Danio rerio: one gene and its partners. The protein of the gene in region 3 interacts with the protein of the main gene of each other region in a biochemical or structural test. Links are inferred from orthologs where the notes say so. Each region holds a gene or a part of one and is shown on either strand. Other genes may lie near its edges.

Region 1 (5,172 bases), on a different chromosome or scaffold from region 3:
ACACTCTTTTATCCAATTCCACCACTTAAACTCTATCCTACAAGCACTCAATAAGGTTTACATGTGAATTTACCGCAAATCATGTCGCACTGCTTACTTTTTCAACCTTAAACTATCCCTTCTGCACAATATTATTCTGTTTTGCATTAAGTGCTTGTATAGTTTGTCTTAGATTACGTGTATAGTTAAGTATCTAAAGTATATGTATATTTTGTATAGTTAGATTACCAGTCTGGTATGTTAGTTATTTAGATTTAATGGATTATATAGATTCTGGAATTCTTTAAATGTTGTGTTTTTATGACACAAACACAACTACTAGAGAAAAGGCAGCGAGAGTTTCAATGAGAACAGAAGAGCTCAAACAAACCACCACAACAGCACGTTACAATGCCTCACAAGAAAACACACATCTGTAAAGCCTCTCCAGTGTTGACGAGAGTGTTAAAGGTGTTCAAACACTGACTGTAAGGCGCAGATCTGTTTGCTCTCGGCACATTCTCGATCAAATGCAACACGTTTAACACACAAATAAACAGCAGAGATCAATGCTTCACCAACAAAAGCTGAACAAAAAATGCTTCAAATTCTTTAAGATGGGATAAATCTTTGTTTAAAAAAATCTAAACATCGCAGGCAACATCTGGATGAAATAAACAGTACACAGCCAAACTGAATACACCCCTAATAAAGTTTACATTTGATCGATTTCTCATTAAATATAGACAATAAATGTACATACAATCACTCTGTATCTCTATAAAAACATTGCGCATTTCTGAATGTCCCTCACACTGGTGAGTGGGTTCGACAAACCACCTGTGGAAACACTCTTTTATCCAATTCCACCACTTAAACTCTATCCTACAAGCACTCAATAAGGTTTACATGTGAATTTACCGCAAATCATGTCGCACTGCTTACTTTTTCAACCTTAAACTATCCCTTCTGCACAATATTATTCTGTTTTGCATTAAGTGCTTGTACAGTTTGTCTTAGATTACGTGTATAGTTAAGTATCTAAAGTATATGTATAGATTGTACAGTTAGATTACCAGTCTGGTTTGTTAGTTATTTAGATTTTATAGATTATATAGATTCTGGAATTCTTTAAATGTTGTGTTTTACGACACAAACACAACTACTAAAGAAAAGGCAGCGAGAGTTTCAATGAGAACAGAAGAGCTCAAACAAACCACCACAACAGCACGTTACAATGCCTCACAAGAAAACACACATCTGTAAAGCCTCTGCAGTGAAGACGAGGGTGTGTAAAGGTGTTCAAACTGACTGTAAGGCGCAGATCTGTTTGCTCTCGGCACATTCTCGGTCAAATGCAACACGTTTAACACACAAATAAACAGAAGAGATCGATGCTAAACAAACAAAAGCTGAACAAAAAAATGCTTCAAATTCTTTAAGACAGGATAAATCTTTCTTTAAAAAAATCTAAACATCTGAGCCAACATCTGGATGAAACACACATTACACAGCCAAAATGAATACACCCCTATTAAAAATTGTATACCCTCCATTACTCAGTGAATTTAGACAATAAATGTACATTCAATCACTCTGTATCTCTATAAAAAACATTGTGCATTTCTCAGTGTCACAACAAACAAACTACCTGTAGAAACACTATTTTCTCCATTATCACCACATAAACTATCTTACAAGAACTCAATAAGGTTTACCTGTGAATTTACCACAGTCATGTCAAACTGCTTACTTTTTCAACCTTAAAATATCTCTTTTGCACAATATTTTTTCTGTTTTACATAAGATACTTGTATAGTTTGTATAGTATTTATACAAAAAAAGTGTTGCATGCAGAACTGTTGCAAATAATTTATTTGTGCTGAATTTAAACAAATTAAGTTTAATAATGTTCAACTAAATTTGTTTGTTTAAATTCAGCCCAAATAAATTGTTTACAACCACTTAACGTAAAACATTTGAGTAAATCCAAAGAGTCATCTTTGAATAAAGTTTTTCATTGTATATATATTCCCAGAGATGGGTTGCGGCTGGAAGGGCATCCGCTGTGTAAAAACTTGCTGGATAAGTTGGCGGTTCACTCTGCTGTGGCGACCCCGGATTAATAAAGGGACTAAGTTTATATATAAACAGATGAAGTCAGAATTATTAGCCCCCTTTAATTTTTTTCTTTTGTAAATATTTCCCAAATGAAGTTTAACAGAGCAAGGAAATTTACACAGTATGTCTGATAATATTTTTTCTTCCGGAGAAAGTCCTATTTGTTTTATTTCGGCTAGAATAAGAGAAGTTTAAAATTTTTTATGAACCATTTTAAGGTCAAAATTATTAGCCTCTTTAAGCTATTTTTCCCTATAGTCTACAGAACAAACCATCATTATACAATAACTTGCCTAATTACCCTAGTTAACCTTATTAATCTAGTTAAGCCTTTAAATGTCACTTTAAGCTGTATAGAAGTGTCTTAAAAAAACACACATACTGTACTACTCTAAAGCATCCTACAGACCAGGGGTGTCCACACTCAGTCCTAAAGGGCCAATGTCCTGGACAGTTTAGCTCCAACCCTAATCAAACACACCCGAACCAGCTAACCAAGCTCTTACTAGGTATACTAGGCAAGGCAAGGCAAGTTTATTTATATAGCACATTTCATACACAATGGCAATTCAAAGTGCTTTACATAAACAAGAATAAAAGAAACAAGTAAAATAAAAATAAAAACAAATAATAAAAATGCGTAAAAACAAAACAAAGCATAAAAACAGGTAAAATGTGATATGAAAGAATTAAGTCTCTTCTGCACAATATTGCACAATATTATTGCACAACTAGAAACTTTCAGGCAGGTTTGTTGAAGCAAGTTGGAGCTAAAGTCAGCAGGACAAGCTCAACTTTGGACACCCCTGCTATAGACCATTTCAATGTGGTCATGTCATTGGTCCATGAACATTTAATAACTGTAACAAGAGGCAATTCCATCATAACATAATGTTAAAACAGCTATCATAACATTAGTTACCAATATGTGGCTCTTTTTGGACTCTCGGAAGCTGAATTAAAAATGTACAAAAGGAAATACGTTGGGACCACTGTGTTTGTTTACACCCATGAAAATGGTCTATATACAGTTAAAAGATAGATGTGTGAGGGGTGAGCTCAAATATGCTGAACACTGTACAAACACCCAAAGAGTTACGACAAGTTCAATCTAACTCCTCTAAATTTCACATCATTGCTTTCACTGTTTAAACCTGGAACTCGTTCACTGAGAAAATAAACTAAAAACATCATGGAGTAAAACTCTCGGTTCAAAAACTGTAGGAGAGTAAAGTCCCATCTCTTACCTTGACGTTTGGATTTAAAGCATGTCTAGGAAAAGCCTCTTCTTGCTAACTTCTCTCCTCGTCTGCGTCTCTGTACGTGTGAGCAACAGTGTCCAATTCTCTGGCGTTTAGTAGTGGTCTCTCGTACAGCTGCGAGAGGGAGGGATGGAGCTAAAGCTGCAGTCTCCGGGGTCCCAGACGGAGAGGAGGCTGGCCAGCAGATCTGTTTGTTTAGTCAAATGACCACAGCAGGGTTCACTCACTGGCTAGTAAACCCAACATCCCTGCCTGCAAAGGTATAGCACAGACTAAAGCTTAAAGGGATAGTTCACCAAAACAATTTACTCACTATTTACTCTCCCTCATTTGATTTTCTGTATTGTGTTGAAGACTAAAGAAGATACTTTGAAGAATGCTAAAAACCGGTAACCATTGACTTTTACAGTTGAAAAAAACAAATACTATGGAAGTCAATGGTTACAGGTTTGCAACATTTTTCAAACTATCTTCTTTTGTGTTTAGCAGAAGAAACTTATAGGGAAAAAAAAGCTTTGGAAGTCAATGGTTACAGGTTTGCAACATTTTTCAAACTATCGTCTTTTGTTTTGAGCAGAAGAAACTTATAGGAAAACAAAATGCTTTGGAAGTCAATGGTTACAGGCTTCCAACATTTTTCAAACTATCTTCTTTAGTGTTTAGCAGGAGAAACTTATAGGAAAACAAAATGCTTTGGAAGTCAATGGTTACAGGTTTGCAACATTTTTCAAACTATCCTCTTTTGTTTATAGCAGGTTGGAAATGAGTAAAAGTTTGAAATGAGTAAAGTTTCACTAGTTAGTTCACAAAAATAAACATTTACTCATTATTTTCTAATCCTCAAATGATTATAAACTTTTATGATTTTCTCTCTTTTGTTGAAGAATGCTGAAAACCGGTAACAAATGACTTCCATTGTTGAAAAAAATAGTATGGAAGTTAATAGTTACAGGTTTCCAACATTTTTTAAACTATCTTCTTTTGTGTTTATAGCAGGTTTGGAATGAGTAAAAGTTTTCATTAGTTAGTTCACCAAAAAATGAACATTTACTCATTATTTTCTTACCCTCGAGTGGCTATAAAGCTTTATAAGTTTCTTTTGAACACAAAAGAAGATATTTTGAAGAATGTTAAAACTCACTCACTAGTAAAAACAACATCCCTACCCTCGAAAGTATATCACAGACTAAACTTTTAAGGATAGGTCACCCCAAAATGAAGAAAACCTCACTATTTACTCAGCCTCAGGTGGATTTTTGATTTTCTTTAGTGTGTTGCAAGTAGATATTTTTAGCAATGATGATAACCGGTAACCATTGACTTCTACTGTAGAAAAACCAAATACTTTTGAAGCCAATGGTCACAGGTTTGCAACATTTTTTCAAAATATCTTCTTTTGTGTTTAGCAGAAGAAACTTATAGGAAAACAAAATGCAGTGGAAGTCAATGGTTACAGGTTTGCAACATTTTTCAAACTATCCTCTTTTGTTAATAGCAGGTTTGAAATGAGTAAAGATTTGAAATGAGTAAAGTTTCACTAGTTAGTTCACAAAAATGAACATTTACTCATTATTTTCTCACCCTCAAATGATTATAAACTTTCATAATTTTCTTCCTTTTGTAGAAGAATGCTGAAAACCGGTTACCATTGACATCCATAGTTGGAAAACCAATTACTGTGAAAGCCAATAGTTACAGGTTTCCAACATTTTTCAAAATATCTTCTTTTGTGTTTATTGCAGGTTTGAAATGTGTAAAGGTTTGAAAAGAGATAAGCTTCACTAGTTAGCTCACCCAGAAATGAACATTT
Region 2 (5,178 bases), on a different chromosome or scaffold from region 3:
TGTCTTTGTCACCACAGCCTCATTTTAATTATAAAAGAAATCGCTTCAATCCCGGTTAAATCAAGTTTATTTTATACATTGACATAATGGATATCCATACAGCAGTGGATATTAACATGTATTCTGTCACATTTGTGTGCAAAAACAGTGCAAAACTAAACGCACTGTGTGTGCGTTCGTACATGAACTTTGTAACACCAGGCACGTGCACACATGGGCTCAACCTGTGCAGTGCACATGCCCTTTTTAAATAAATTTTATCCTGCAAATGCCCCTTTGAAGGTCTCTGCACGGGCCTGGTAACGACATTGTGTATAACTCATCGTTGCAACTCCACAACAAGCACATCAAATAATAAAAATAATCATGGTAAAGTTCTTACTGTAGTATTTCTCAAAAATGTAACGTGAAATCTGCTTCCTTCTTGTCTGTCACTGTGCTGTTTACCTGACTCAGCCGAGGTGAAGATTGAAGCACACTCTGACAGGCACGTGGGAACGGTGGGTGAGGAGAACCAGTATTTAAGACACAGGCCACAAAAACAGCATTGTGTTCAGAGCAGAAAATCCCAATGTTCTGAAAGGTATAATAAATAATCTGATAAGTTTTGAGCTGAAACTTTACAGACACATTCTGGAGACACAAAAGACTTGAACAAGGGGTAAAATAGGTGCCCTTTAAGATTTCAAAGACTATAAAATGGATAATCTTTTACTTCAAATTAGGATCAAATTGTAAAAAAAGTGAAATTTTTATCAGTATTTTAGTTTTTTTTTTTCTAAAGAAAATGTGTTAATTACACATTACAACAAGGCCAGGTTTCACTGGGGCTAAGCTTAGACCAGGACTAGGCCTTATAGTTAAATTATTTTTTAAGCAGCTTTTATTAAAAAATGACTCAGAAGAACAGAGCAAATTACTGGTGTCCATCATTAATCAATGACACTGACATATTTTAAGATGTCACTGCGAGTTATTTTTTAAGTTAATTTAATCAGTAAAACTGGAGGTCTGTCTTGTTTTCAGTCAAACTGATCAAAATAAAGCAAGTTTATTATTAAAACAAGAACAAATACGCCAGTGGGTCTCTAGACAACTTTATAAACCAACTTTATTTGAACTGAAAAAGAATTTTCATACACTTTATTGACCTATATTTGTTCTTGTTTAAGCCAAACACTCACTTAAGCCTCAAACAATATATAATTAATGAAGTTATTTTAAATTTAATTAAATTACGATCTTTAAAAACGTAATGTTAGAAACACATAAATATCTACTGTAGTGTAAATTAATATTATTGAACAAATTCATTCCTCCTGGCAGACAAACCGCATTACAGAATGGCAAATAAACTTTTACATTAGTAAATCTTAAATAAATCAACAGACTGTAACTAAATCATTCAGCAACGTCAAAACTTCTTGACAACAATCCTAAAGTTGACTTGTAAATATGACTTCGTTCGGCCATTTTATCCTGGTAAATATGACATTTACAGATTCACTTGAATAGTAAACACAGATATTCAATAAAATACTTGTCTCACCTTCGCCCAGTTCTGAATATATATGTGTTTTAAACCCTACGCATATATTCTACATCATCTTATTGTAAGTGACCAACAGAGGGAAGCAAATCCCTCATGAAGCTTTCCCTGAACACACTACCGAATGCACACGCAAAGCTTTGTGGGTTCTGTAGTTTAAATGGTGGGTATAAGTTTCCGGGAAGGCCGGATGCACGCTCTCTTTAGTGTTCGAGCCTGACACGGACAGGTAATGGCGGCTTTAATGTCCCTTTTCAGCTATAAATTTCTACTTTACGCATGCGTAATATGTACGATTAAGTAATATTTAATGTTCCCTTACGTAAGGTAACAGATGTACGTATTAATTTCTTAACTAGTTGAGTACATAATGCCGAGAAAAGAGCTTTATTGCAGTTAACGTGTTTCCACAAGGCGCGTTCAGGCCTAGCAGCAATGTTAGCCTGAGGTGAAACCGCGTGCTACCTCTACATATAAATGACTCGCCGGGATTGCTAATATATATATTTATATGAAGAAATCAAAATTTATAACGTGAGGACGAATGTGCCATTATACTATGTTCTGTTGAGAAGGAAGCGCTTTTCAGTGTTTGATGTCAAAGCTAAACCGGGTTTTCGTTCCACGTTAGCTTTAATGCTTTTTAACTTAAATTAAAATTTACCTCTAATCAAGCACACGTTAATTATATATATATATATATATATATATATATATATATATATATATATATATATATATATATATTATACATATATATATATATTATACATATATAAATTATACGCTAAATTAATTATAAGTCTAAGTGACGTTTCACTTACATTGCAACACCTATTATTTAGCACAATGGCGTTTGTATATCCTTTGCAAATTTGAGTACCTTTTAGCAACTTCAAAGTTTTTCTTTACCTTTTTTTGTTCAGGCGTCAATAAGTCGCCATGCCGGTTGCCAAGACTTGGGTTTGCAGTAAGACGTACGTCACCCCAAGACGTCCTTTTGAGAAGTCACGTCTTGACCAGGAGTTAAGACTCATTGGTGAGCGCAAAGTTGAAAATAAAATGATTATTAATGTTTTTTTCCCCAAAAACGTGTTTCTTACAAAAAAAAACGTGTTTCTTACAATTGTCTTACAATTTTACCTGCCACAGGTGAGTATGGTCTCAGGAATAAGAGAGAAGTCTGGAGGGTGAAGTTCACTCTGGCCAAAATCCGCAAGGCTGCCAGAGAGCTGCTCACTCTGGATGAGAAGGATCCTAAGCGTCTCTTTGAAGGTAACTGAACTGTGACTGTCGTTCAAGACTGGGTGGCCAATGATTAAAATAATGCTTGTCAGATTGTCAGTGTTGCCAAGAATTCCTCGTCAATGAGGCCATATCTGCCAATACATCCTTACTGGTTCTTTATCACACTTGTTTAACATAACAATATTTTGTGATTATTATTTTTAAGGTAATGCTCTGCTCAGGCGTCTGGTGCGTATTGGAGTGCTGGATGAGGGAAAGATGAAGCTCGATTACATTCTGGGCCTGAAAGTGGAGGATTTCTTGGAGAGGAGGTTGCAGACTCAAGTCTTCAAGCTTGGGCTGGCCAAGAGTATCCACCATGCACGTGTGCTCATTCGTCAGAGGCACATCCGGTAAGATTTAGGAAGCACAGGTTTAAAACTCAAATAGAACAGGATTTTGAAATGTTTAATCCTCTGGTGCTGCTTTCTCTAGTCTTAAGTTTTAGTTCGACTTTTTAGATTTATAGAAGCAAATTATTTGTCTTTTGCTAACTACATGTGCAAAGAACAATCTTAAATTATATATATATTTATGGCAGATTGCTCAAGTTAAAGAACTGATATCAAACACATTCAGTCTTATTAGATGTTTTTCTAAAGTTGTTTTTAATAATGATCAAAGTTGGTTGACATTTGAGCTTGAGATCTATGAAATGGATTTAAACTTAGGGTGCAGTACCAAACAGCTACTAAACATTTTACTTTTTTTTTTTTTGCCAAAATATCAAAACAGGTTTTTAGGATTTGTACAATCTTATTCAAAAGAATAAAACAAGTATTAGTTATTGACAAGTGCTCCAGAGGGTTAACTTTCATTTCCTGGTATGTGTATATTGGTTGTCATCAACACGTGTTGAGGCTTTCTTCCTCTTTCATTAGCTGACCACGTTTAAACTCCTCCCAGTGAGGTGGAATGAAATATTCTGCAAGGTCAATTCGGTGATTAAACCGTATACCTTTGCTTGTAAGCCAAAAATCTAGACCTTGCCATGAAGTCTGGGGTGCTCTAGTGCACGAAACAGTCGGAGGTAATGTACGTGGGCACTTTGGCAGATTTTTTTACTAAAATAAAGCTGCACTTCTCTTGGCCAGTGATTAAGCTAAAAACTGTCAGATTTTCAGTGGTGTCAAGAATTCCTCGTCAATGAGGCCTTGAGATCAGCAGCTTTACTTTTGACATCTAAAATCTCTCTGTGGACCTTTTTTTTACAACTTTTTTTATTCTCTCTGTAGGGTGCGTAAGCAGGTTGTGAACATCCCCTCCTTTGTGGTGAGGCTGGACAGCCAGAAACACATCGACTTCTCCCTCCGCTCTCCATATGGTGGTGGCCGTCCTGGCCGCGTCAAGAGAAAGAACGCCAAGAAAGCCCAGGGTGGTGGTGGAGGCGGTGATGATGAAGAGGAAGATTAAACTGTTTCCTCTTAAAGAGGTGGAGGGACTCAGCAGTGCTTGCTCTCTCTTCTCCCTCAAGTTTTCAATAAAAATGGTTCATTCCCAATTTATTTGTCCTGCTGCTTTCAAACTGATCTACTTCAAGTAACTACCAATAATGGCATTTTACAATCGATTTACCTTAAACAAATTATGTAATTTAACAGTTGCACAAATGCTCAAAGGTTTCAAACCAACTCGAGTGTATGTTGACAACCCACTTGAGTAACTCGAGTTCAACCTAATGTGCAATAAAACACAACATGACAGCCAAAACTCAAGAAACTGATACCTAGTATCCCTAGTGGGTTAAACATTTTTTAATTCATTTATTTTTGTAGTCATATTTGACTGTCATCATTTGCTGGTCAAAATGAAATGCATTTAATTACAGACTTAAATACAGAAAAACTGCAAACATCTAGAGGTAAAACCCAAATTTGTTTGGGTACATTGGCTGAAGCAGCCATTAAATCTAAACTCACTTCAAAGAATATATTAAGATAAAATATTTTTTATTTAAATCTTAATTTTTTAGATTGCACTTTCGGCTAGGAACTTAATACATTAGTTGTAATCTATCTTCATTGTGCTGATGATAAGTGGTGATAATCTTGGAGTGTGCAGTAGGCTTTTTTTATGTGCTCCGGCTTAAGAAATGTCATCCATCTTCTACAGATCGTCCTGGGGACTGATTTGTCCTCTTGTCTCAGTGTTGCTTGTCTGATCACTGTGAATGAGGTAAAATATGAAATTATATGTAACTTCAAATTGTATTCAATTTATTAATATTAATACATGATTGTTTTAAAGATGTTTACCTTTCACCATCCTTTTCCAGTGTTTAAACAAGGAAAAACAAAACGATCATATTAGCACAATCATAAAATGAATTTTTTTTTGTATAA
Region 3 (5,131 bases):
CAAACTTCACATTTCAGCAAAAGAACCATTTTGACGACATGTGTGTGAGCTCTGGGACTGTGTGATTCTTTGAAGGACTTTCAAAAGGCATAAAACTTTTAAAACTGGCGGAATTCAGAAAAAAAGTGCTTTTACAATTATGCAAGAATTGAAACAATGCTTAAAACATAAAGCAGAGTATGTTAAAGAACAGCTCATAAAACAATAAAATTCATATATTCATAAATGTTATCTTTAGACTTGCAGCGTATGCTATTTGTTAATGGTTCAGGGGCCAAAAGGATTATTTGATTCAAAAAGTCTGAAACGCAAAGAACTTTAGTAAATTCAAGCGCCTTATCAAACACGCAAAAACGTTCCTATATAAATTGCTAGACCAAATATCAAAACACACATTCCCAAGTTATCTAGCTTTCAAAGATATGCACAATACTATCAAACTTTAAATCAGAATAACTTTCTTGCCAACAAATGAAAGAGTCTGTATCTCTTAACATACATTCCACACATAACACTGAAAAAAAAAGAAAACTGCACTGAATGAAGCAACCATTGTACCCTACACTAGCCACAACAGATATGGTTATAAACAAAAAAGTGTGAGACTCAAAGTTGGAGAGCCATTCACTTTACATCACTAACATAATACAAAGTTCTGCATGTTATATTGTTGAGCTGCCAACTTACTACCTACACAACCTCAGCTATCTTTAATGAGATGTTAAAGTCTTACAGGAATCAATGGGAAATTTAAGATTGCAATTAATTCATGGCACACTATAAAGTATATTAGCATAAAAGCTCAAACATTCTTTAAATTTAAAATAAAAACAACTCTAAATTAACCAATTATTGATATAAAGGGATCAAACAGAATGCTGAATTTAAACCTTTTTGGTTCAGCGCTGTGTACATGCAAGAACAATAGCGGTCTAGTGTTAGTAAGGCCAGTTTTCTTCATCTTGAAACTCTCTATACTGATTTTAGTGTAATCTAGACTAACTTTACATATTTTAAAGTAAAAAAAAGATAGTGTATGTCTAGTTTGCATTCGTTCCTGATCTATGATAAGAATTGTAAAGTGAAAAGTATATATTCTCACTGATCTTAGACAGATTAAATGTGTATGTCTAGTTAACGATCTTTCTGATGTGTGATAAGAATTGTAAAGTTAAAAGTGTGTATTCTCACTGATCTTTGCCATAGATAGCATTGCTTTATCATTATAGCAAAAGTGGACTGAAAGAATGAAGTCATTCTTAAAATTTATTCCTGACAGTGTGTTTTAAACGCAATAAGTGCATTGCATGATGCAATGCAATGGGTCAATATAGTGACCCACACACCATCTGAGCAGGCTGGGGCAAATCAATGTCCATGCGATCAATTCATTTACAGGATGGCTCATGTAATACACTAGACCTTGTTCAATGTATGCATATGCTAAAAATTGAACGATTATCAAAACATGCAAAGGCATGGCATACTCTTAATGCTATTGAAAAGTGAATTTATTGCTCATCTTGAATGTATTGATCCTGCCCTCTATCTATCCTTCTAGTCTTTGTTAATGTCTTATATATAAATATTATTCTTATATATAAATTAATCTTATATGCGAGTTTATATTACAGAACAGCTAAGAGTTATATAAAAGGACAATGGACTGTAGATAAACATCAGACTTGGCGGTAAAGCTCCATCAAAAGGATCTTCAATAACACTGAAACCTGCTGAAATAAAACCAGACCTCTCGTGCTTTAACACTTCATCAACCAGGATATAAAGCTACTGCCTGAAAGCAACGATCACAAGCCAAATAACGTATATGCATACAATACCTGTGCTTGAAATTGTCAAATGACGTTGACATATTGCACAAACGGGGGAACAAACGTCAATGACGCTTCTAATATAAAGCGCTGCACTGCACGAATCCCTTCCTGCGATTACAAAAAGGCATATTTCACATACTAAAGCATTTCCTTTTGTTCGCCTGCGTGTGAACGGACTTGTTTTTTTTTTTTTTTTTGGTCAATCAAAACTACAAGTTGAGCGCAAGCATCTATTTTCTGCGAGCAGCTGATGCAATGCTCTTTGTGTGACACTGCTTGTGCATTTCATCTAATCCATCGCATTATATAAACCTGCGACGCGTCTTTTGTTATTAACCCCCAAACTGTCTTGATCTGAAATGTAAACATTTTGGGAGTTAGATTGCAGATTAGCGGTCAATCGATAGATCAGATTACGTAAAATGAGGAAAATGACATTTTATGACCTCACTGGAGTTGCTTATATTGTAGTCGTCACATGTAACTTGCAGACAAGCCTAAAATAACCGTATAAATGAAACGACGGCTCGATAACGTGGATAAATTAACAACTGACATTAATCTAAACGGCGTTGAGCTGATGCAGGAACAGAAACCAACTGATCTAGATCACATCATGTACAATCGGGGACTCAGTCAATAGTTCCTATAAAAAGGGAAAAGCAAAAAATGTAAATAAATGCTCATAGCTTTTTATATTCGGACGGGACGTCAGAGATTTCTTGATTTGGAACAAGATGCAAGCCGTTACCTTCATTGCCGACACTGGTTTCAACACAATAGACAGAACAGGGACATTTGATTGATCAAAGAGGATACATGTCAAGTCCAAGTCGAACCCGTCTTCTTGGTATCTCCTTTTATTTCTACTGACAAATTCCTTTATGATCGCAGCCATGGCTGTGACAGGAGTCTTTAGGGTTTTTAGTGTGAGAGAGAGTATTGTTGCTTTCGGACGGTCGGTCGTCTTTATGCTCTGCTCGTTTCGCAGTCCCCCAGCTAGCTAGAATGGAGTCTGCTGTGGCTCACTCATCAAGGGCCTCGCTCCAAACCACCACAGGCCCGGCTTCCAAAATGCCCTCCTCGGCTCAGACGAGCCCTGGGTGAAAAGATAAGCAACTTCCCACGTCTGGAACTGCAGAATCTCTAGTGCACGACAAGTCTCTGGTCGCACCGAAGCCGCCGTGATTGAGCGGAAAGGCGGAGAGAAAATCCTCTCCGGTGCTTCCACTTGAAGATCGGTCGTCAGAGCCCCGCTCGCACTCAGCTCGCGCTCCGTCTAGCCTCAACGGCTAACGCGCTAGCCCGTCTACACATCCTTAGAAAATAAAAGCCATTAAACTCTACGACAATCCGCGATGACCAGGTTCCAACACATGAAACAAAATGTGACAGCCTCCACCAAGAAATGAAAAACTCGATATTTAAATGTGGCGTAAGAGACACCTCCGGTTCTGTCCTTATCCTCCACTGCTCCACTGCCTGTTACACTCTCAAACTTCCATCATGGCTTCCCATTGAAAAAAGATGACGTTCGGACGACATATTCATCCGCATTGGCAAATAGTTCTACGGCTATTTCATTTTATGTCAACAACAAATATGTTTTTGCATCCTAGTATATAAATATACTTATTTTAAAGCATTCTTGTTGAGCTGACATGGCGTTAAATTAAGTAATATATCAACTATCTAATGTTAGGGTTACTGCGAGCGCACTAATACACAGTCGGACTACGTTTTGTTCCACGGTCACGTGTCTACAGAAATGAGCCAAGTTCCAATATTTTATATCAGATTTCAAGTCAGTTATGTAGGTGTTCCGCTCCAACATTGTCGTTTCCTTTTATGAAACAAACTCTAATTGGCTTGCCACACAATAACTGAAAGGTACAACCTACGTTTATTTTAGTCCCACTTCTGAACACGGAGAAAATATCAGAATGCACGTAAGTTATGTACCCCTCTCACCAGTGCCTCGACTACCCTGCAGGAAATTACTGAAATGCTTACGCCAGCAGAAAAGTAAGTTACTGCACAGAGGCACAATCATATTACCAGATACCTGTACATTAAATTATAGAAATTAATTGCGCCCACCTGTGATGCTAATTGTATTTAATTATGTATTTGTGTTATAGGCGTGTTCTGTTACGTTTGCTCAGATGTGGATTTTGCCCCAAGGACGAAACGGAGGTGGAAAGTTCTAGCTGCGTTTCAGACAGCAAATCCTTATTGTAGAGCGCCATCTGTCAGAATATTCTAGAATAAAGCTCGTATGCTACAAGACCAGTGGTGCCTAAACATTTTCGTAAGAAGGGCCTAAAACCAAACATCACTGAGAGCCGTGGCCGATGGTAAATATACCAAACTACATTACATTAAAGTTGCCATGAGTGATTTGTTTCATAATATTTCCAAATAATTGTTACTTTGTGTACAAAATAAATGTTACATTAAATTGTATTAACTAATGCAGTATACATTTTTAAAAGAAAACATTATTGCAATAAAACTTAAATGAATATGAATACAGAAGTCAAGCACAATTTGCCTTTGATTTGATTTGCTCACCAAAATCTCTGCATTGCCGGGTGACAGTATGCACATTTAAACAAAATCTGAGTAATTTACACCATTTAATTGAAACATTCAATTTCAGTTAGGCTTTAACAATAAAACAAATAAACAAACAAACAAAGGGTTACATTTAATTTTAAATGACAATCTCAGAACCCTCCTCAATTCTCCCTTTCTTCTCAAATGGGTTGGCGAGACAAATCAAAGGTTACCATGGGCCAACATTAGCCAGCACAGCAGGTCCTACTTTGGAGATCTAAATGCATCAACTTTCTTGTTTTTAATAAATAAATAAAAAATGTGTTTATAACTTTGATATCTCGTTAAAAGTAATGTCAACTAGAAGTTCAGTCACAATGTAAACTGCATCCACTGTGTCAACTGAATGTAGTAGGTACTAGCAGTAGATAAACAAGTTTTATTATTTTGTTATCATTTTTGTATTTTATCCATGATAAATTTCACATTAGCTACATAATATTGTATAGATTATATTTAAGTTTTGTCCTCTCTTAAAAAGTGCAACAAACATACGAATTGATGCAATGAATTTTGTATTCATAATAATGTTATGAACTTGTATGTTTTAAAGACATACAGTTCAGTGTCAGCAGATTTTGAGGTAGAAAAAGATGCTTGTAAAGCACAGATCTGTCATGGTCTAGTCAATGGTAAAAGCAATGTTATTGTAAAATATATTTTGAGGTTTATGTTAT

What was found.
Region 1: the proteins of ptenb (region 3) and pdgfrb form a complex in vitro, tested with the Homo sapiens proteins (2 studies listed by BioGRID and IntAct, with this or other methods). The link is inferred for Danio rerio from reciprocal best matches to the Homo sapiens genes PTEN and PDGFRB.
Region 2: the proteins of ptenb (region 3) and rps9 form a complex in vitro, tested with the Homo sapiens proteins (2 studies listed by BioGRID). The link is inferred for Danio rerio from reciprocal best matches to the Homo sapiens genes PTEN and RPS9.

Annotation. Positions count from the first base shown.
Region 1 is NC_133189.1:3,757,664-3,762,835, forward strand, and holds the start of pdgfrb (platelet-derived growth factor receptor beta), read right to left. Parts: upstream 3,432-5,172; 5' UTR 3,348-3,431; intron 1-3,347. UniProt on the Homo sapiens protein: Tyrosine-protein kinase that acts as a cell-surface receptor for homodimeric PDGFB and PDGFD and for heterodimers formed by PDGFA and PDGFB, and plays an essential role in the regulation of embryonic development, cell proliferation, survival, differentiation, chemotaxis and migration.
Region 2 is NC_133191.1:35,113,360-35,118,537, forward strand, and holds rps9 (small ribosomal subunit protein uS4), read left to right. Parts: upstream 1-1,747; 5' UTR 1,748-1,778; intron 1,779-2,475; 5' UTR 2,476-2,491; coding exon 2,492-2,588; intron 2,589-2,701; coding exon 2,702-2,824; intron 2,825-3,002; coding exon 3,003-3,189; exon of another isoform or gene 3,190-3,866; intron 3,867-4,071; coding exon 4,072-4,249; 3' UTR 4,250-4,339; downstream 4,340-5,178. Other genes in the region: rap1gapl (rap1 GTPase-activating protein 1), read right to left, coding at 4,943-5,000. UniProt on the Homo sapiens protein: Component of the small ribosomal subunit. The ribosome is a large ribonucleoprotein complex responsible for the synthesis of proteins in the cell. Part of the small subunit (SSU) processome, first precursor of the small eukaryotic ribosomal subunit.
Region 3 is NC_133187.1:19,017,777-19,022,907, forward strand, and holds the start of ptenb (phosphatidylinositol 3,4,5-trisphosphate 3-phosphatase and dual-specificity protein phosphatase PTEN), read right to left. Parts: upstream 3,357-5,131; 5' UTR 2,734-3,356; coding exon 2,655-2,733; exon of another isoform or gene 2,587-2,654; intron 2,142-2,586; exon of another isoform or gene 1,842-2,141; intron 1-1,841. UniProt on the Homo sapiens protein: Dual-specificity protein phosphatase, dephosphorylating tyrosine-, serine- and threonine-phosphorylated proteins.